Linked DNA regions of Lepisosteus oculatus. The protein of the gene in region 1 binds, or shares a complex with, the protein of each later gene. Links are inferred from orthologs where the notes say so. Each region holds a gene or a part of one and is shown in the gene's direction. Other genes may lie near its edges.

Region 1 (10,394 bases):
TCACCCAACCACCAATTTGTCAGTTGACTGAGGATGGCAGGTCATTCACCAGAAATCGTGGGGAAACCACAGCTTATTTCCATCTACCACCCTCTTACTCTCTCCTCCAAACCAAATGAAGTTCAGACACTCCACATCCATATCTACCCCCATTTGATGGCAGAAAACAGAAGATAGATCAATTGCACAGCTTCCCCCTCCAAGGTCACGCATCCATTGTATTTCCTTGTCTTGGAACCTTGGTGGCAGCCATACCTTCTCTGTGGCCATGGCGATACCAGAGGCAGCAACTTTCTCTCCCTCTGTGGCTCTGAAAGTGCTCCCCTTCTGGGCTTTTGAGATGCCTCAGCAGCCCCTCTTTTTCCTTCTCAGCTTCTTCCTCTTTTACTGATTTTGGAATCACTAGCAGTTCTGCTTCCTCAATTGGCTGCCCAATTACAGACTTCTATCAAGTCATCAGTAGCCAGTCTTCTTTTCTTATAGTCCTCTGTAGGAACACATCTTTATGCTATCTGTCAGTTTATTAACTCTGTTCTTTGGTGGCGGGGCTTTTGGGAGACTGATAACCTTTTCATTGCCCATTAAGCAACATCCTCTTTCTTCTTGGTCCATCATTTATTCAAACAGGGCCTTCCTTTTGTATCATTTTTGTATCCATTCTGCAAAACTGCACCAGCAGTGGACTGGTCATTTCTGTCTCTAGGAGTGCTTGTTCTGTGCCAGCTGCACCCTGGTAAACCTCAGATCTGCTAGGGATTGATTCAGCTAAGAATATGACTGACATAGCTGCATGTTTCTCCAATTCCTATCTGCATCTGCTTCTTCATCTCTCTCAGATGCTGCTGGACCAAAACCAGTTCCTCACTCTGTTGCTTGGCATTTAGCTTGACCATTTCCAGGTGGTTCACAAACTCTGATAACAAGCCCTTTAGCCGTGCCAATATTTCAGCGTAAGCTATTTTAAGTCTCTATTCCAGGTCCAATTTTCTCCAAAGGTTCTTCAGCATGCCTTCATTTTCTCCCAGAACAACCGCATACTCCTCACAATCTGCATTTATTCTGATGCTCATCTTCTGAATTTAGTTTCACCCTCAGGAGCAGTAATTCTGTGGCAGTCTGGCTGAGATTAAATGGGATTTCTGTTTGAACGCCTGCAACCAGTGCTTCTTCTATAAATATCTGAGGGAAAAATATCTCAAAAGGTTTTGCTTCTCTTTGTTTCTTTACTGGATGCCAATCCTTCGCTTGTCCCTAGCTTGTCATGATAAGATCATAGGTTTTGATCTTTTTTTGTCCAACTTTCTCTTATGTGTTGGAGAATCTCATTTTCAATATTAAAAACGTAGTTCTTGTTTTCTATTTCTATCCTCTGGCTGGCCTCCAGCTTGGTCCCTAAAGAAAGAATTGAGAGAATTTCTTCTCAGAAATGGCCTGGATGAGCTGGGATTGAAGACTCTCCACCAGTGCCCACCAATCCTTAATTTCCACCTCTGCAATGAACATCCTGAACTGTTTCTTGGCGAAGAACTAATCAACTCTTTCTTGACCTTTTTGAGTTTTACTTGGATGCAGCTCCTGTTCAGACTTCCTCAGCTATCTGTCAAGTTCCAGCTCTTTGTAGCTTTCCAGGATTTTGACTATATCTATCTGACTATTTTCTGATTTCTTTTTCTCAGGCTTTCAGCTGTAGACCATTTTGTATAGTAGTAAACTCCTGTCTTCCCCTATCCTGGACTTCCAGATCATGTTCTTCACATACCACATCCTTCCCTTTTCTATTTCTGTCTCAATGAAGGCTGTTGGGTGCATAGTGCACCCTGTAGTGCAAATTTCTTTTGTTCTTGCTTCCAGGCTATCATTTTCCAGACCACCTCTGTCATGCCATCGAGGGAGTCCATCATTTTAAGGTCTCCTTCAGAAAATTTTCCATTGTCTTCAGAAAGTCCAGCAAGTTCCAAAAGTTTCTTTTTCACATTTAGCAGGCTGGAGAAAATTCTTTCCTGCCCTCTATCTTTAGCCAGAATGGAGTCCTTGAAACACTCAAGTCCACATTTCACCCCAACAAATCCAGCATTTTCTTGTTTATTTTGATCATTTTTAAAAGAAAATTCCCTTGCACTATTGCTGAATAGCCATTGGGGTGCGCTACTCCCTAAGACTGCAACCCATGCCCACATTCTACTCCATATGTGGCATACTGTATAACTTTTATAATTTAATAAGCAGATCTTGGTTACCAGACACTCAAACACATACAGAAATGAAAAAAAAAACAGTGCTCTTTACCTGAGTTTCAATTGACCTACATCTTTCGATCAGGTGACTACACGTCATTCCCTCCAGCTTTCTGGGAATGAGGTTTTAACAAGGACCCTGATCTTGTTTCCATCTACCACCCTCTCCCACTAATTCTGGTATGGGATGACCTTATTCTACCCCACTGAACCTGTGTTTATATAATTATCCTTCCTTTTCACCCATTATACCATTGTTAAATATTTAGAATGTGGAATAAAGATAAATAAATGCATATCCATGCCATTTTCTCTCATGATGTTTTTAGTTTTTTGTTCATTGGAAAGATGTCTGTGTTTGGGGAAGAAATCCCCAAGTGGATCAATTTTATACCATCTCAAATTATATTACTTATAACACAATATCTGTGTTTACACATATTATTGTGCTTTTCAAATGTGTTTTGGAAAACTGTCTTAATGGTTTTGCTTTGTATCCTGAGAGTATACACAGCTGCACCAAAACAGCAAAAAATACATGATTGGAATAGCAGGTGGCACTTCTTCAGTTAAGTTCATTTACAAAAATGTGAAAGATGGATATGCATTTTTTAAAGTTGAAAAAGAGTAGTCAGTCTTGTGTTAATTAAAGAAAACCACAAGCAGAGAGGCAAGAGCAGGTCAATGCTGTCATTCACATGCACATTTCCTGAACAGGACAGAATGGTACTGTTGATTAATATTCACCGGCTACTGGAAACCATGACTTTGCAGACCAAGAGTGAAGGATAATAAATTTGTATTAAAAGCATTAACGTAAAACACACCCCTTTCGCTCAAACAGACAGATGGCTTCAATTACGTTAGCACTTTAATAGATGTAAAAGAGCAGGGCTCATAAACTGGTCCATTTTATTAGATTAACAAACCAAAGAACAACCTGCTGTCTGTTTCCAGGTTTATAAAAAAATCCAAACACACAACTTCGCAAAACCGAAAGGGTATAAAAGTAGTTCTGAAGAGTGATATTAAGAACTATACAAGCAGACTGTTTCAAGGTTGTATTAGAAAAAAAAAGTGCATAAAGAAATCTGTTCTCTCTACCATTCTGGTCAACAAAATGAGAAATATTTATCCTTCTTTTAAGTGATTACGTTAAAGGCAATAGAAACTCCACCCATGGCTGTATGCCACCTGAAATTAAAGTAACAAAGTACCTAATATCTTATTTTATTTTGGAATAAATCAGTAATTGCGTAATATTCCAAATTGCCTCATTCATGTAATTAGAAGGGGATAAATGACTACTAAAGACGCATTCAGTGAAGATCTGTGTAACAGATTTAGCCAAAAATGAATTATTGCTCCCTTAATCCATTAATGGTTTTAAATGTGCTCAAAATTGCAAAACTGCAGGGGTACTTTATAAGCAGGTAAATTACACTAGCCACCGAGAGCATTTTATAAAACCAGTCTGAAAATAATGTTTGCTAGTTTTACTGAGTTCAGTGTGGCATTTTTCAGTCCCTCAGCCGCCTATACTGCTTTAAATATAGCCAAGCACTTTTCTCTGTCACCTTGCAGTATAGCCTTTAAAATATTAGAGGTCAGTGCTGACTGACTTATTTGCACATAAGCAGGTTCTCCAAGTACAAAATGAAGAAAATCCCTTTTCAAATGCTGTATAAAGTGTAAACAACAAAATGTTAAAACCAAAATAGCATTTTTATTATGACAGCATGATACTATGATGAATACTGATTGGGAATTTGTTGTAGTTAAACACCAGAATGTGAAAGTCATCAGAACTTTAAAATCCATGTGAAGTATTAAGAATCATATTAAGTATATTAAATGTAGTAATTATATCACTAAAAGAGATATAATTCTAATTAGAATTATAAAAGTTAAACCAAAAAATATTTTTTCCCTTTAAACTATGCAACTTTATTTAACATGAAGTCAATAGTAATATTAAAATCTGTTGTTAAATACGGGCAAAAGGACAGAATTACTGCTTTAAAATATAACTGGCTAAAGTAATTTGCATTACGATAGTGATGATCTCCTTTGTAATTTCCATTGATTCTTAACACACAATGGAAATGACAACTTCAAATCAAATGCCTCTTTCCCAAGGTCGTTCATACCTGTTGTGTTTCCTAATGCACTAAGCCTGATTCACTGTTACACCTGCCAGCAGTTATTAGAAACAACCATGAAACAGCCACCACTCATGTAATTTCAAAGACAATTAATACTGACAAGCACAACATTCATTTGGTATATTTGTTAAGCTGAATAAAACAATAATGGAGGCTTAAAATTGCTGGTATTTGGGTTATTTTGTGCTCTTCACACATCTGGATCATTTATTTTGCTGAACAGGTGGGAAATACTAGGTTTACATTTCTCTGAAATCAAATTTGAATTATTTTTACAGGGACACTGCCACTGTCCCAGGGACACTAATACTGTCTGTAAATCATCTAAACATTAGTCTTTTTATATAGTTTATTTCCTATTAAATATATTTTATAGAGATAATAGAGAAAGAAAAATGAACTACTTTGATTTCTATTTGAATGCATGATACAATGGAAGGGTAATACAACAAAATGTTTGTGATCACACTTTCACTTAATGCCGTTTGGATTATGCGTCTAAATTTCTTACATTCTTACAGTATATTTAGATTTAAAATCGGTATAACCATTGACTGTTGCTAATATTTTTTTCCTAACCTAATGAGAATAGATAATCGCGTGGTTCTTTTTTGTTCGTAATATGATAACCTAAGCAGGTATTATACAATATTTTGTTATTGATACGCGTTAGTCAAAAAAGCACACACCATGCCAAAATGAATTATACCACTTTTTATCATTGTGAACGCATTTGGGCAAGATCTAACAGATTGTATGTTCTCTAATTGCAACTCTAATTGAACAGACATTTGTTTCATCATTCTCTCAGACGAAACACAATTCTAGAGACGTACATTATGTAGCATTTCAGGATAATTATTCATGCAGACGATTCACCAACAGAGGGCAGTCTGCAAAAGCGTTTCAATACAATTTAACCTTTTTTTCCGAATTTAACATCGCAAAGAACGGTCAAGAGAACGCGCTGATTGATTATGGTATTGTTGTTAATAACGTTAAGTCATTAAAACATAAAAGAGTAAAACTTAAATACCCCCTAATGTATTAATGCACAAATCAAAGAAAAATACATTTCAAAATACATTCCAATATTGTATTTTTGTGCAATGCAATTTCTTCCTAAATGAAAACCATTCGTTTTTTAAAAAACGTCGCAATCCCATAAGGGTCATGAACAGTCGTCTTTACTAAATCGAAAAATGTAATTCAAATACATTAAATACATAAATAAAAAGCAAGAAATATAATTGCCATAATAGTTTAAAAATACATCTAAATACCTGTTGAAATTCTTATTAATTCATTTAAAAATTAATACTTTAGCCAAATTCCTGATAATTTAATTTGATTAACTTTCTACCTTCGTCTTCTTTTTAAGATGGATGTCCATCTATAGAAAATACTTGAAAGAAGTGATCACGCATTCACACGTTGCTCAGTACACCCAGCTTTAACCTAAACATAATATGTTAGGTAAATGAATATGTAAGGTGCTTGTGCGTTTTCTTTCAAATTGAAGTTATGATGAAAAGCTAATATTAAAAAGGTTACCTGATTTTTAAGTCAAATTCTAAGGATATACTGTAACTATTCAGTGATCACTATTGTTGAATGCTTTTTGGTGCTGAAGAGGGCATGTTATTACATGTTATACTGTAGCCGGGGGTTTCAGCAGTATTTTTGAAAAACAAAATCTTAGTGTTTTATGCAGTTACTTGAAAATCAAAGATATTTTAATAGTACAACTGAACCCAGTCCTGACATCACTATTGTCATAACTATGTGTTACAAGTACCAATTAAATTTGTGTTTTTACTTACATTTCATTTTCAGACTTGTCAAACAACGTCGCACGGTGTACTGTAGCTGTTATAGTGTATACTGTTACCAGCATCAAGACATTTTGTTCGAAAAAAAAGTTTTTTAAACTTATCTTTGAACGTGCGTGGTTTGAAAGCGGTAGCTGCGGCTTTAAGAAGGAGGTGGAGTATTTAAGAATGACGCAGGAGTAAGACTGAAAAGATGCTTCAAAATTCCTCCCCGAAGCCACTCTCTGTGTGGTAACAGGCTGGGCAGTTACCATATTTAAACAACAGGAATTATTAGGGAAACAGAACTATTAGTAAGGGAAACAGAAGGGGATTTTTAAAACCAAGTTGAGACGGTTTCAGAAGATTTAAAGTGCAGGATCCCTCATATCACAGATTCGCTACCTTTTGAAAAAAAAAAAAGAAACTTCTTAAAAGTTTTAAGACGAAAATCTTAATTTCTCTGAGAGTTTGTCAATTTAAAGAAATAATATCGGAAAGCCGAAAAGTAAAAAAAAAATGGTAGAGTTTTTAAATTATATCAATATAGGAAACGTAATACCCGTCAAAGGTGCCAATATGCCATGCTTGCTGTCATGCTGCCTATACTTATGGCTAATCTTAATACCTGTCAAGACAAGTGCACAGAATGAAGACAGTGTAATTGAAGTCTTAGTTACTTTGCCAAAAGACAGCGCATACATGTTCGCCATCCCAAGAGTAAAACCAGCAATAGAATATGCATTGCAGCGGATCAGCACTGATGAACGGCTTCTTCCGGGACTCATTTTTAAAGTCCACTATGAGGACTCAAACTGTGGCAATGAAGCCCTCTTCAGCCTTGTGGATAGGTCTTTGAAGAAGAAGCCAGATTTGATTCTTGGTCCCGTTTGCGAGTACGCTGCAGCACAGGTGATAAGGATGGCATCCCACTGGAACATCCCAGTGATTTCGGCAGGTGCTTTAGCAACAGGCTTCAGCGATAAACTAAAGGAATACACGCACCTGACCAGAGTTTCCCCTTCTTATTTAAAAATGGCGAAGACATTCTCTGCAATGTTTAACTATTTCAGCTGGAAGAACGCAGTTCTTATCTATGATGATGACAAAGAAGAGCGGAACTGTTACTTCACAATGGAGGGGGTCCACGAAGTTCTTAATTCGGAATCGGAGGTACATCATCTATTGCCTGTATCCTTTAACTCCAAAGGGGGAGTGGATGTTGACGAGATAATCAGGTCGATCTACGCCAACGAAGGTAGTACGCCCCTTTATTGTTTAAGATACATTAAATATTAGCAAAAGAAAATGTTCTTCAGGATAACTGAATAGTCGTCTAGTTAGTCCTGGGTGTACTTTTACTGTTTTAAGGCCAATAAAATATACAGAATATCAGATAAGTAACTAAGAACTGTGCGGCCAAAATTGCCGGAGCCATTGAATCTCCATGGTAATGAATTAATGTACAGTACATGGTATATTGATACACAATGTGAAAGTGTTTTAGCCTTTACAGTACCCTTTTAAATCTATACAGTATTTATATCAAGAAAGTAGTCCTGGTGTTATGTAGAGGACCAAAATAATGTTAAATGGAATCCCTTTGATAAGCAGCCGAAAAGATTTTCATTTAATCTTCTGGAGGTGATTTATTGCATTTTTATTTTTACATTACTGTGGTTCCCGCGACTGAGCTTTTCGCCGCTGTTAATTTTCTAAAAATGTGTAAGATTTCTAAATTGGTCATTTAAAGATATTTCATTCTTTTGCTTTCATTGAGACAGACAAATCCTTTTTTAAAACAAATTCAAAAGAATTAGGGTTCTGCAGATTGCTGTTGAATAACGTTGTGTAATACTTTACACTTGGGAGGTAAAATAGGAGACGAATGATGGAGACGAGAGTGGTGGATTGGTGACAAAGAATTTTACCAAAGAAAAGAAGACGCTTCTGAATACAACTGGCTTTGTTATTAAAATGTACTGATGAAGTCCTGCCATCTGTGCGCTTTTATGTACTCCGTTGCAAACGGAAACGTATCTCAATACTGGTAATATAGATTAAAGAGTAGGTTACTATCCATTATATCCCACTACGCACTTGACATTCCAGAGCATACTGTACCAAATTTTCATTTTGGTATTTACTGTATGTTATCTCTGATTTTACACTAATGAGTTTGGTTCTGTGAACTTAACATATTGGCAGGAACTCGCCAATGGGCATTTTAAAAGCAAATTGTCTCTGGCCATTAATTAAAAATGATTTAATTTGATCCAAATTGTTTAAGACAACTTATTTACAAGTTGCATTCAAAGGTTTAATTATCACTGTATTAAAAAAGATGAGTCCCTCTGGTAAATCTGTTAGTTATTAGTATCTAGAGCAACATGGTAGATACTGTTAATCTTGGTAGCCACACAATTTAATTTAGCCCCTGAACTGAACGCAGGCATCTTTTGAAAAGCAAGGAAGACTGAAGCTAGGTTAACAGAAATCATACATTTTTAATGAATAGTCTGTAGGTGTACTAAGAAGTCCAGAGTGCAATATGTATTTGATAGAGAAATATGCACAGTTATTGTCATCATTACTTTTTCCAGACATCACCGAATATTTTTAGGATTTACTATTTGTGTCTTGAACATACCAGCCTATTTTTATTATAGCTTCCTTTTTAAAATCCATGTCGCTCATGGTTACATTGCAAAGAGGTTCGGAATAGGTATCACCATTTAGCTTAATATCAATGATGCAGTGTGAAACACCTAAGATATAGAAAGTTTTACTTTAATGTGAGGGATTTCTCATTTCTCTTGGTTGATGAGATCATTTCTGATTCACGTGTTGTTTCCATTTCTACTATGCATTGAATGTGTTCTGTAACATAGCATTTCACCTAAGGCCTATTGTGAATGCTACATACACAGTATTGTAACACATACGGCTCACATATGTTGTTTGAGCCGGCTTGCCTGCATGGTGATGTCACCGCCCTTCCCTGTGAATAGCAGGGACCTCAGTCACGGGGCTGATGGGAGATTTCCCTTTAGCTCAGCTGGCTGGTTACCCAAGTGAACCCGAAAACACTACATTGGTGTTAGCAGCGGGATGGCATAGCCCTTTGCCGAGGACGGCGAATTAAACGGGGGAGAGTGTAATGCATATGGCCGACATTACAGGTTGTGTGAGCCAGCTTTTCAGCACAGTGACATCACCGCCCTTCCCTGTGAATAGCAGGGATCTCAGCTGACGGGAGATCTCCCTTTAGCTTAGCCGGCTGGTTCCCTGTTGACTGATGCCGGAGGACCGGGTTCAAGTCCCCAGCGGTGGGCCAACCTGAGGCGGCAGCAGTGAGGGCGCATACCCATGTGAACCCAAAAGTGCCACAGTATTATGAGAGTGGAAAAAAATGGTTATACAGTATATACTGAACTTAAAATCATGACAAGAACCTTCACCAGACATTATATATTTGTTCAAAGTTATTGCAAGCCAGAAAATATAGGTTACTATCAGTAGGGATTGTTTTTTACACAATAAAATGGTGACTCCTACTAAAGATTGCTGAGGATGAACTTATGGATGGTTTTTAACCCTTAAAGTGAAAATTTACATTTTGATTGATTTTTATAGTACACTTACCTACCAAAGAACAAGTAAAGGATAATTCCATGCTGAAGAGCAGACAGAAGAAACAAAATATTTTGGCTGTTCTTCTCGTGTCACCTGCCAATGAAGCCTGACTCGACTACTCACAAGTCCACTTTCTGTCATTTCAGTGCCCAGAACTTCAAAATAGTGAACACAGAAGCTGTGAATAGAATATAGACATTTCCAGTTACAGAGTACATACAACAGAGTTACAGTGATAACGCTGTCAAAATAAGTTTAGGGGTTGTTGATCAATTATGGCAACCTGATCACATTGCTGTAGTGAAAGGGACTCACATCTTAAAAGTTACACACACTTCACTTAATGCTTCTGAAATTGTCATGAAACAGATTTTGCACGAGTTTTGTCAGACAACACCATACGCTCTTATTTCAGTTATGTTATTATTAAAAAAAAAGGGTCTGGAAATAACAGTAATTTTAGTTCAAATGTCAAAATGGAGGCTAAAGTCCGTTAAGATTCTACTGAAACTAAGATAATATGTTGGAGTACTAGAATGGTAAATAAA
Region 2 (10,476 bases), on another chromosome or scaffold:
GAAAGTGCATCAGTGACCCAGTCAAAGACCTTGAATACGTTAATACGCTAGAGGATTTGTGGAAAGACTTAAACACTATTGTCCATAAGTGATCCCCAAGCAACCTGAGACAATTTGTGCGAATCCACCAAGACATACTGTATGGCCAGAAATTGTGTCATATGGGTGTGCAAACTTGGTAGAGACTTACCCTACCAAGGCTGTATTTACTGTGGCTCTAATTACTTCTAAAGATTCTTTCACCATATACTGAGTTATGGATCTGAATGCTCACGCAATCAATATTTTCTCTTTAGTTTTTGCTGGCATTTACTTTAACCTAAGTGGCCGTTGGAAGTCTTCAGTTTGAACATTCACATCTTGAATAAAATATTAAGTCATTTTGTAATTTCACAACATAGGAAACACTTTTGTAAGGCCCTGTAACAATAGATCAACTTGCCGATTTTCTAAAAAAGCCATTTGACATTTTTAATGGTCATTGTTCTTCAGATTTTGTATTATTTTCACAGTACTATAAGTACCATTCTGCCTGTTGTACATACATGTATTTACATGTACATACAGTGTGTATCAGTTTTGACATGACTGTCATGCGATGGGTTATAGGAAGAATCGATGACATATTGCCTTTTAAGTTAAACTAAAGTGTTGCTTATTTTAACTGTGACCATTTCATTCATTCCTATGCTATAGTGCAGTGGAGGGAGCAGTATTCAAACCTAATGACAGGACAGTCTATCCTTTTTGTTCCAGCCAGGTTGTGTAACAAGGTTTGTTCATTCAATGAATTTCTTTTAAAAAAAAAAAAAACATTTGCATTCTTGTAAGAAACACAAAGAAGCAAAGACTTAAAATGGGAAATGATATGAAAATGCTGGTCAATTCAACTCAATTGACTGAGTATAGAATCTCTGTTTTCGTCACACGCACGTCAGTCTGCCACACATCAAATGAGTGATAATAAATAATGGACTTATTTTCAAATGAATTAGAAAGATACAAAATCCCAAACCACAACATCTCCCTGGGAGGGCTATTAGGTTTGGCATCTACTAAAATCTTGAAACTTTTGCTGAGTGTTTTATGCATACGTAGGCAATATCTTATGTAAATCAAATGAAGCTTTTAACCATTCTGTACAAATTCTGAATACTGAGAATTGGAAATGAAAGCAGATGTTTTAAAAGCTACTGTATATAGGTAAATGGCCATTGGCTTCTGGACCCTTGCTGGCATAAAGCTGATCATGGACTATCCAGAACCCCTCAGCCAGCAAGGATGCTAAAGAAGAACAGCTGTGAAGGGAAAATTCTGCAGGAGTGGACAGTAAGGAACAATTCACTCTTAGTCACTCAGTTCTGATATAATCCGCCATTTCCCACAGCTCAAGAGGGCAGCTTTCATTGTCTCAGGACAATCACGTAGAAGACACTTCTGTTTTGATTTCTTTCTCTTTAAGCCCCTGACTTGCTCATGAAACATTACAGAAGTATGTCTGCCCCTGCTCTGGGTAACCTGTCAGTTGAGTTATTCTCCCCTTTGGAATGGGCAGCCATGCTTAGATAAAATGCTGTTTGTATGAATGAGTTAGTTGTTAGCAGAAGTCTACCTGCCGAAGAAGTAAGTTGGCAGTGTCATTACCACTGCCTCGCACGATCTACTCTTTTCAGGTCAGCAAGACGGCCTCAGCAGCACTGGGATGGGAAACCTCCTAGGAAAACAAGAAAATTGCTTTAGACGGTGCTGGTGAACCGGAAGGGTGCACTTGTCCCCCAAAACCAGAATTTCCACATACGAATAACCCAGGATAGTGAGCAGAGGCAGCGTGTTGTAGGAGTTGCCTTTGGATGAGATGTTAAGCTGTCGGTCTGACTACTTGGTCATTAAAGATCCCACGGCTCTATTCGTAAGGGCAGGAGGCTTAACCCTGCTGTCTGGCTCATTTCCACTCTGGACTACCCTAATGATCTCCCTTCATTCGACTGGAGAGGGAATTTCTCAATTCTCAATTCATTTCCTATGTACTTCAGTGCCGCCTCTTCCTATCTACAGAGTGGTTTGGGGTCCTTAGGCATGAAACAAATTCATGCTCTATAAATTAAATGAATTGTTGTTGTTAACTGTCGGGTGTAGCTTGAGAAGCTTTTGATGAATGATTACAAGTAATTCTTAATTTGGAATCAGGAAAGTGAACTGCAATTTTTTTTTTATCCTAGCCACCACTGCAGTTTCCCAAATCACAGTTTTCATCTATCCATCGATGTTCCACAGCGGCTTCCTCCTATGGATGGCTGTGCTGAGGCAGATCCTATCCTGGCGGAGCCAGGGCGCAAGTTGGAATTGCACCCTGGATGGAATCAGTGCATCACAGGGCAGACACAGACGCACAAGCAGACATGGACAAGAGACAACAATAGCCCAGCCAGCATGTCTTTTTTGAAGTTTAGAAGACCCGATACCCATCTATCCATCCATCCATTTTCACTCTGCTTTCCCTGGTGAGGGTCGTGGCTGCAGTAGACTGAGTGGATCAGCCCAGACTTCCCTGTCCCCAGTACAGATTCCAGCTCCTCCTGGGGGATCCCCAGATGCTCCCAAGCCAGCCGAGAGATATAATCCCTGCAGCCTGTCCAGGGTCTGTCAATGGGTCTCCACTCAGTGGGACGTGCCTGGAACAGCTCCAGTGGAAGCCGACCGACCAGGGGGGCATCCTTATGAGATGCCCAGACCACCTCAATCAGCTCCTCTCGCTCTGGAGTAGCAGCGACTCGACTCTGAGGCTCTCCCGGTGCCGGTGAAAACCCGTGTGCACGAACTAGAACATGCACACTCCTCACAGAAGGTCTCCAAGCCTGAAAGTCGGGTCCAGCAGCACTGTAAGGTAGCTCTTCACTCTACTGGTTCTCAGTTGTCACGGTTTATGTGATCAATAAATACACCATTTGTCAAGCCATCGGGAACAGCTCTGCCAATTGCACAAAGTGTCACCACATCCAAATGCCTTCTTTTCATCTGAGAATGGGTCTCAACAAGATCAGAAATTGACATCTTGACATCACACAGCTCTCAAGTCAGAAATCATCTCCACCCCCCCCCCCCCCCTCCACCCCCCCCCCAAGTCAGACATTTCTATTTAAAAGAATAATACATCCTTGAACATGTGTATCTACCAATGTCTTCTAACGTTCTTCTCCTCATGTAACTCATTCCCATTTCCAGTGTTCGGATACTTTGGTCTTGCTTAGACTGTGAACTAAAGGGAAATCTGAAGTATTTATCACTCTACCATACTTGTGTAAGCTGATTAGAAAACAAAGGAAAATGGAAGAGGAAGAGTCATCCATACCATGACTAGAGAAAAGGATTTTGAAAAAGACCGGGGAAGGCGAAAATGGCCAAATATATAGCCTCTTAAACAGCACATTCAGAACAGTTTAATATTGTTATTTTGTAATAATTATTATAAAATACATGTAACTCGAGGCATTTTTTATTCGTTTTCACGGAGTAGATGAAAATGACAGGGATAACATAAAAACATCTGTGTGGTTAGTTCGGACAAAGTAGCAGAACACTGGAAATCACGCTTAATAAACCTCTTTCAGCATTTCAGGATTTGGCAACGAACAGCTCTTTCTCGTGAACTAAAGCGTCGGTTTCTTGTTTGCTGTGCGGCGTGGGAGTAATTATAGAGAATTCTTACTGTACGTTTTCTCCGGAAGACAAACCCCACGGCTTCGACCACTCTCAGAGTGAAGACTGTCTCTTACTAAAGACTGAACACGCTCCTCGAGACTACAATAATTCAGTGATCCCCACCTGTCCGCCCACTTCCTTCTCAATAACCACCCTCAAGATATTAAGACTATTCACTTACCCGCGACATGCAAAAAGACCCGCATTGCAACCGCGCATAAAAATCTATAAGCGAAAATACAAAAGTCTATAATACCAACAATATTATCGTTTGTACTGAAAATGTCATTTCGTTTTGGCCAGTTGTGTTGGGTAATCACACATACCAAAAGCAGCAATTATATATAAACTCCGCATGAGCAGGGCTACAGCGGGCAGTAAAAAGACGCACTCCTCTGGCATCTGAAGTCTGCGCTGTCTGTAGGAGAATTAAACGTCGTTCTACAGAGCAGGTGTCCTTCAGTTTTTCGCAAAAATGCTTATTTGTTGAAGAAGCGCACAATGAGCACTGTAGCTTACAGGCGAAACATATTTTTAAAGAGCACCTAGTGGGTTGAAATTGACCGCAATATCCCATCCTTCAAATAGCACATATTAACCTAGTAAATCGACTGTCAGTTAAAGCATTTTGGTCAAATCACACGCAAATACTGATAGAATTAAGCACAGCATTTCCAAACCAAACATCTTTAAAATCCATTGAGCAAAGTCGGGATCTATCCGTCTTTCTGGAAAAACGAAGAGGTGTAAACAAGAAGTTTTGGAATACAAGAAGAAAAAATAAGACATCATTGTCTTCAAGTGATTTAATCTTAAATTTTAAGTTTAAGGGTTTCAGAAGAGTTGTGGGGTAATGGGATCAACGCGCGATAAATGCATAATTTGGAATTTTGCAGTGTGAATCTCCAAATTAATTTGATGCATATGATCTCTTCATTCGCAAACTTAAAATGTTGGTGTCATCACTAGTTTAACTCTAAAGTACAGGTAAACGTAGCCCGCATCTTCTTTAGAAATGATCAACTCCCCATACATTAAACTAGATATATATTGCACTCAGCTAAATACAGTATAGGAAGACGGGTTTTTTTTTTCTAAATTAAAACGGGACTTTTCATATGACGCAATAATCGTAATGTGATATTACATTATACGCATTCATTTTTAATTTAAAAACATAAAAGATTTATGAAAAGATTGTAACGAAAAGAAAAGAAACGCCTTCAACACCCACAAAAGTTGATAACGGAAACAAAACTGGCTACAGAATGCACTTGTCAAATTTTCTCTAGACCAACAACTGCTCAGATTTCAAAATAAATTTAGAAAAACAAAGTAGGCTCTCTTACGCTAAGGCGTATGTATATATGAACTGCACATATATTAAATTCCAAATCAAATTAAAACGAAACGTTAAGATGGGTTATCCGTGAGTCCCTAGACATCAGCATTGGGCGCACGCAGATATCCAGTGAGGGGAGATGGGAATCGGCTAATTGTTAAATATAGAGAAAAAAGTTATATTCTAGGGCTAAATAAACAGATCGTGTTAAAGTTCTTCTCGATAAACCAGTTTGTCCCTATTTCACGTTGTTTCGAATCAGTGGTACCGTAACTCCTTGTACAGTAGATCAGAAAACCTGAACACGACCATAAATGACTTGCAGGATTTTGCTTTGAAGTGTCCCGCTTATTCATTTGTTTGGCATAATTAATACAAGGAGCGCAGTTTATTCTTTTAACTGAATGGTTAATTGTAAAAACCTCCAAACATCCTTGTTATAAACGAGAGAAGGACATGCCAGATTGCTCTACAGCCAGACAAAAGATAGGTAACTCTGGAAGCACCCGTATGATGTTTTACCCCAGAAGAGACCATATCCACGTCCTAACTGCTGTAAAAAATACACAGACTAAAAGCGGTATAGCATACTATAACATACACGCGTACAAAAACACACTACCGCGAAAATTTACAGGTAAAAAAAAAATTGGCAACATATCACAACAGAAGGGGGGGTGGGAGGGGGGGGGGACACTATTACAAAGCCTGGATGACATCATCGCTGGGTTATAAAAAGCGTGAATGGTGTTCCTCTCTAGCAGTGCAGAACTTGAGTATCTTGGAGTAAGCGAGGCAAGACAATCCACTTGCTGAGAACCGACCTCGATCCGAAGATTTTATTGTAACCAGAAGGAACCCAGTCTTCGAGTTCGCCACTGAGCAGAAATGAATATCTCGCATTTGGTGGCTTGTGGACTATTGATGACTCTGCTTTCAGTGAGCATGGAGGCTAAACCTTTGACGCCGGCACAGCAAAAGGTAAATCAGATTTACACGGTATAGACTCCGTTAGTATAGCCTTGTGATATCCAGCGTAATGATCCATTGTTGTTTTCGGTGGTGGCGTATTCTTTTGTCTGAAAAATAATTGACAGTGCGTTTAACGGTTAGTTTATATTATTTCTTAAACCATTTAAGCTAACTTTTCTACGACTCCTTGCAGTTATGCTCGGCTGTTACTTTAGTTTTTTTTTGCTTTTGGCGCAACTATTCCTACGAGTTGTACTAAAACAATAACAATAACAGCCGCATTAAAATACGTTTTGAACAACATATTAACCTGTTCATCCATTAATAAAGTGGTGGGAACGTTTTCTTCATGGTGTTCAAAAATAGTTGGTTGCATACATTTTTAAACTTCGAAGTTTAGAAGTTCACTGAAGGAAAAACACAGTTTTATTTTTATTAAAGTTTCACTCTCATGACCCTGTAGTGTTAGAGATGACTAAAACCCATCATCATTATAAGTACTTATTATTTCTTAATTTTAAAAACTAAGAAAAAATTTTTTTACGCATGGTGCGTAAGAAAACATGACATATGAGGAAACGTACAAGTTATCTTAATAGCATGTTCTTCTTTTGGTAGCTGCAAGTATCGCACCTATGTCATGTTCCGGGATGCATCACATTCCAAGAACTGTATTCTGGTACCCAGACATTCAGAAGTACATGAACGCGCAGATACGATGGTAAAAGAGATGAGGGCTCACCGTAGCTTCTTGTAGATTCAGACCCGTCTAACAGAAGAAAAAAAATTTAAGATAATTTTAATAACTTAGTGACTGAACCTCTTTGTCCCACTTTCGGAGCTCGTAAAACGTTTAGCGGACATCAGTGACAAAAGCCCCACCTCGGTAGTAGTGTAGTACCTGTGCATCATACATGGGCATTGTGACCAAATCGATGGAAAGCAGTAAAAAAAAAAGACAAACAGGACAATTTCCTTTCCGTATAATATAAGTATCTTTACGGAATTTATCTACTGAAATAATACATATCTTTCATTTTCCAATGGAGTTTATATTGGGTAATGTCTTAATACGGACATATCTTTAAAAAAGTTTTTTTTCTTTAGGAGGTGGCGTGAACTCCCACTTATCTGAATCTTCCCACATGGAAATTTACTAGGATGTAACAACGGGAAAGTGTTAAAATCGATGTAGGTTATGCTAAAATGGGGAAAAAAAAACACAGCAAAGTATCCACAGCAATGTCTCAATAGCACCTCCAACAGTTGATAAGAAGATACTCTGTTCTTACCCATGTCCCCAGTTTGAATAGGAGAGCTTCTCTACTTTATTCCAATACTAAACGTTAAATAGGCTCCTTAAAATAAACCTTTAACCTTTGTTGACAATGACTTAGCCTACCGTATATTCAGTAACTCCTGCATCCACATGAGCATGAAGTCGACAGCTTAAAGACTTCTGCAATATTAAACTCGATTAGTAAGGACGGTTTGTGGATTGAGCTGAAGGTCAAGTAAAATAAAGCTGTTAGTGGCTGTTTGTCATTGTGCCATCCTCCTCTATAGCTCACATCTGCACCTACCCTGGCAGGTTCCAGGTGAGCTGTTGATGATTCCTTATGGAGAGTGGCGCCTGCACTCTCACAGCCTCTACGGAAAATATATTCCCTGCTCCAACACCGCAGAAAACACAGAAGGAAATATACTAAGTATTACAGAAGCAAAAGAAAGCAGGAGAGATTCTGATCTGCAGAGAGGCGTTAAATGGACAACAAAATGTGATTCCAACTCTCTTTTGGTGCATTTTGCATCTCACTCCGCCACATATGACTGGCTAGAGAAGTGTGAGACCGTAGAGTCTTATATTCACTCCTGCTGCTGATTTTCAGTGAATGGCTGCACATTACAGTCATCTAAACCTGTGATCATCTCTTTGTGGATGATCACAAATAAAATAATGACATACAATGACTGGAAACTAAAGGGGGAAAGCGTATTGTAATATGTTTACAATCGGAATTCCCGATTTACTTTGGTTTACATAAAATAACGAACGGTGCGAGCCGTTCAGGTGCCGTGTGGTTACACGCAACAGTTGTCCGGTTAAATAAATCATGCTGAACCAAAACACAGAGGGTCATTTTATTAACGCAGAGTATTAAGATGCTCAAGCAATAAGTTCCTGCTGGAAAGAGAACTGCTGTGGCGACCAGTCTTGCTGTATGAAGACAGTTACTGGATTCACAGACGGACCATGCGTGAGTCCAGCTGCCACAGGTCTGACCAGGGAAGCCGAGAGCTGACGCCTTTTTCTTCTTTATCTCTTTGTTTTAGTCTCTTAGAAGCTTGTTAGGCGAAGAGCTGTCCGAGTACCTAGCATCGGGGGAGACGGAAGGCAAACTTGAGAGTGCGAGGTCGAGGGTGCGACTCCTCCGGGACCTGCGCCTGGACACCCGGGCGAAGGCAGCCTGGGCGCGGATTCTGAACGACCAGCCCAGCCCGCGGAAGTTCAAGGGCGGCGTGAAGAAAGGGGGATCCCGGGGCTGCTTCGGCCACAAGATTGACAGAATAGGGACCATCAGCGGCCTCGGCTGCTAAAGAGACAGCGCCCAGAGGCGGTAAGTGAAGCACCGGGGTGGCAAACTCTAGGAGGATGTGAGCTGACGTCAGCAGTATCGGAGACGCAAATCTCATGTTGTGAGTGCTTGGCAGTCGTTAACAGTGAAGTAGTCATTAATAAACATGTATAAATGACAAATATCCAAATCTGGTTGACAGCCGTGCAAGTAATCATTTAAAAGGGTCACCTATTATAGGGTTATTAACACTGCATTATCATTCTCTTCAGGTGTTATGGGTGAAAAGAGCTTTCGGATTAATTTCGAATTCCATATTTTGAATTGTAACCATAAATACACTGTATATGTGTACTTGGAATATAGTGTTTCTTCATGTAAAAATTTTTTAACACTTGGGAGTGGTAGCGAAAGGCACTCTAAGTAGTTTTGGATCCAGGTTACAGTGAGGTTGGGACTCAAATGAAATTCACACTGATCACACTGTCAATTAATTGTGCAAAAAAAGCACTTGCTTACTTAAATTATGTCAAAACAATTTGACATTGTGTCATGATCTGAAATACAGTCGTGACACACAGATTCAAAGACATAATTGGAAAACACAATGTTTTTGTTATTTGTGCTGCTGCTAAAGCAGGATGCCTCCTGTATTTTTAGGGAATAAAAGAAATAGGCAAATCTTTACGTTTCTAATAAACAATATAGTCCAATATTTATTTTGTACATTTGAGGGATGTATTAAGATAAAAGGACAAAAATAAAGGAATCATGGGGAAATAATGTCCTACTGGGTGCAGAATGCCATTTATTGATGCTCCCAGTAGCTGGAAAAGAAGTCTGTATACACATAAAATTAAAAGAAAAATATTTACGGGTGACTTAATTAAATGTATCCACAGCAAAGATTGTCTTTAATAAAGTATACATTATTGGACACTAACAAAGGATCAGGGATTAAATATAGGACAAAGAATTTCTTAATTATCACTGAGTGCACTGAGTACAAGTGCTTTTTGTAGTCTAAATGTTCTTCATGTGTCAAGGTTGTTTCAGAACTGTGGACATCAGTCTGTCCTGGCACAATGAAATCCGAACACCACACAAGAAACGAAATGTGCACTGAATGAAAATGCTTATGGATAGTTCTTTGAATGTACTATACCGCCTTACCACCTTGCACGTGTGTAAATGGGAAAATGTGACCATTACCATCAGTAATAAACTAGTGTAAATGCCCTGAGATTAGAGGTTGCATTATTAGGGATCATGTCATAGGCAGCTGACACCTTACATGTCCTTTAGCATGGCTCATTACAGGAATTTGTAGGTCAGCATACAGTAAATGTGTATAAAACATTAACTAATTTAGTGATAAAGATATGAGGTGATCCACAGTTAACTGAAGCAAAGTACACATATGGCTTCAGACTATGGCTGTAAAATGTTCTCCGAGACCGGGCGTACGTAATCTCTCTTTCCAAAGTCATCTGAAGTGTGTCAGTGGGTGAATGTGTCTTACTTTTTCCATTTTGTGCAATCGATCATCCCCTTTCCCTGTTTCCCCACTCTGACCCCCCTGGAGTGAGAGAAATGGTTAGGAGTGTTCCTTGTACCCTGGCTTCTTCCAAAACTAAAAACATGGGATGAGATCTTTGAATCAATGAGCTACTTCAGAGGGGCCATTGTACCAGCACCGGTTACATATGGCAATAAAGTTCAAGTCAAGTCAAATGTCCATCTCTCGTTTCTGAATGTTCTTACTGACAGTACATCTCATAAACTCCATCAACACTGATTTTACGAAGATTGACATTGAGTTAAGCAGGCAGGAAAAAAATAAATGCCAATGGTATTACTTATGGCAGATTTTATTTTTGTCTCAGA

Evidence for each region. Proteins that work in one complex are often made in the same cells at the same time.
Region 2: the proteins of npr3 (region 1) and nppc are in contact, whole or in part, in a crystal structure (PDB 1JDP), measured with the Homo sapiens proteins. The link is inferred for Lepisosteus oculatus from reciprocal best matches to the Homo sapiens genes NPR3 and NPPC. Residues at the interface, in NP_001191304.1 of Homo sapiens: Asn110, Tyr138, Ala141, Pro142, Arg145, Ala161, Gly163, Phe164, His166, Glu170, Tyr171, Tyr204, Lys208, Leu209, Arg211, Tyr214, Phe215, Leu217, Glu218, His221, Glu222, Gln225, Ile233; in NP_077720.1 of Homo sapiens: Gly109, Cys110, Phe111, Gly112, Leu113, Lys114, Leu115, Asp116, Arg117, Ile118, Gly119, Ser120, Met121, Ser122, Gly123, Leu124, Gly125, Cys126.

What each region holds. Positions count from the first base shown.
Region 1 is NC_090698.1:40,242,019-40,252,412, reverse strand, and holds the start of npr3 (atrial natriuretic peptide receptor 3), read left to right. Parts: upstream 1-6,461; 5' UTR 6,462-6,729; coding exon 6,730-7,468; intron 7,469-10,394. UniProt on the Homo sapiens protein: Receptor for the natriuretic peptide hormones, binding with similar affinities atrial natriuretic peptide NPPA/ANP, brain natriuretic peptide NPPB/BNP, and C-type natriuretic peptide NPPC/CNP.
Region 2 is NC_090708.1:8,850,488-8,860,963, forward strand, and holds the start of nppc (C-type natriuretic peptide), read left to right. Parts: upstream 1-5,782; 5' UTR 5,783-5,929; coding exon 5,930-6,022; exon of another isoform or gene 6,023-6,120; intron 6,121-6,755; exon of another isoform or gene 6,756-6,846; intron 6,847-8,347; coding exon 8,348-8,611; 3' UTR 8,612-8,631; intron 8,632-10,476.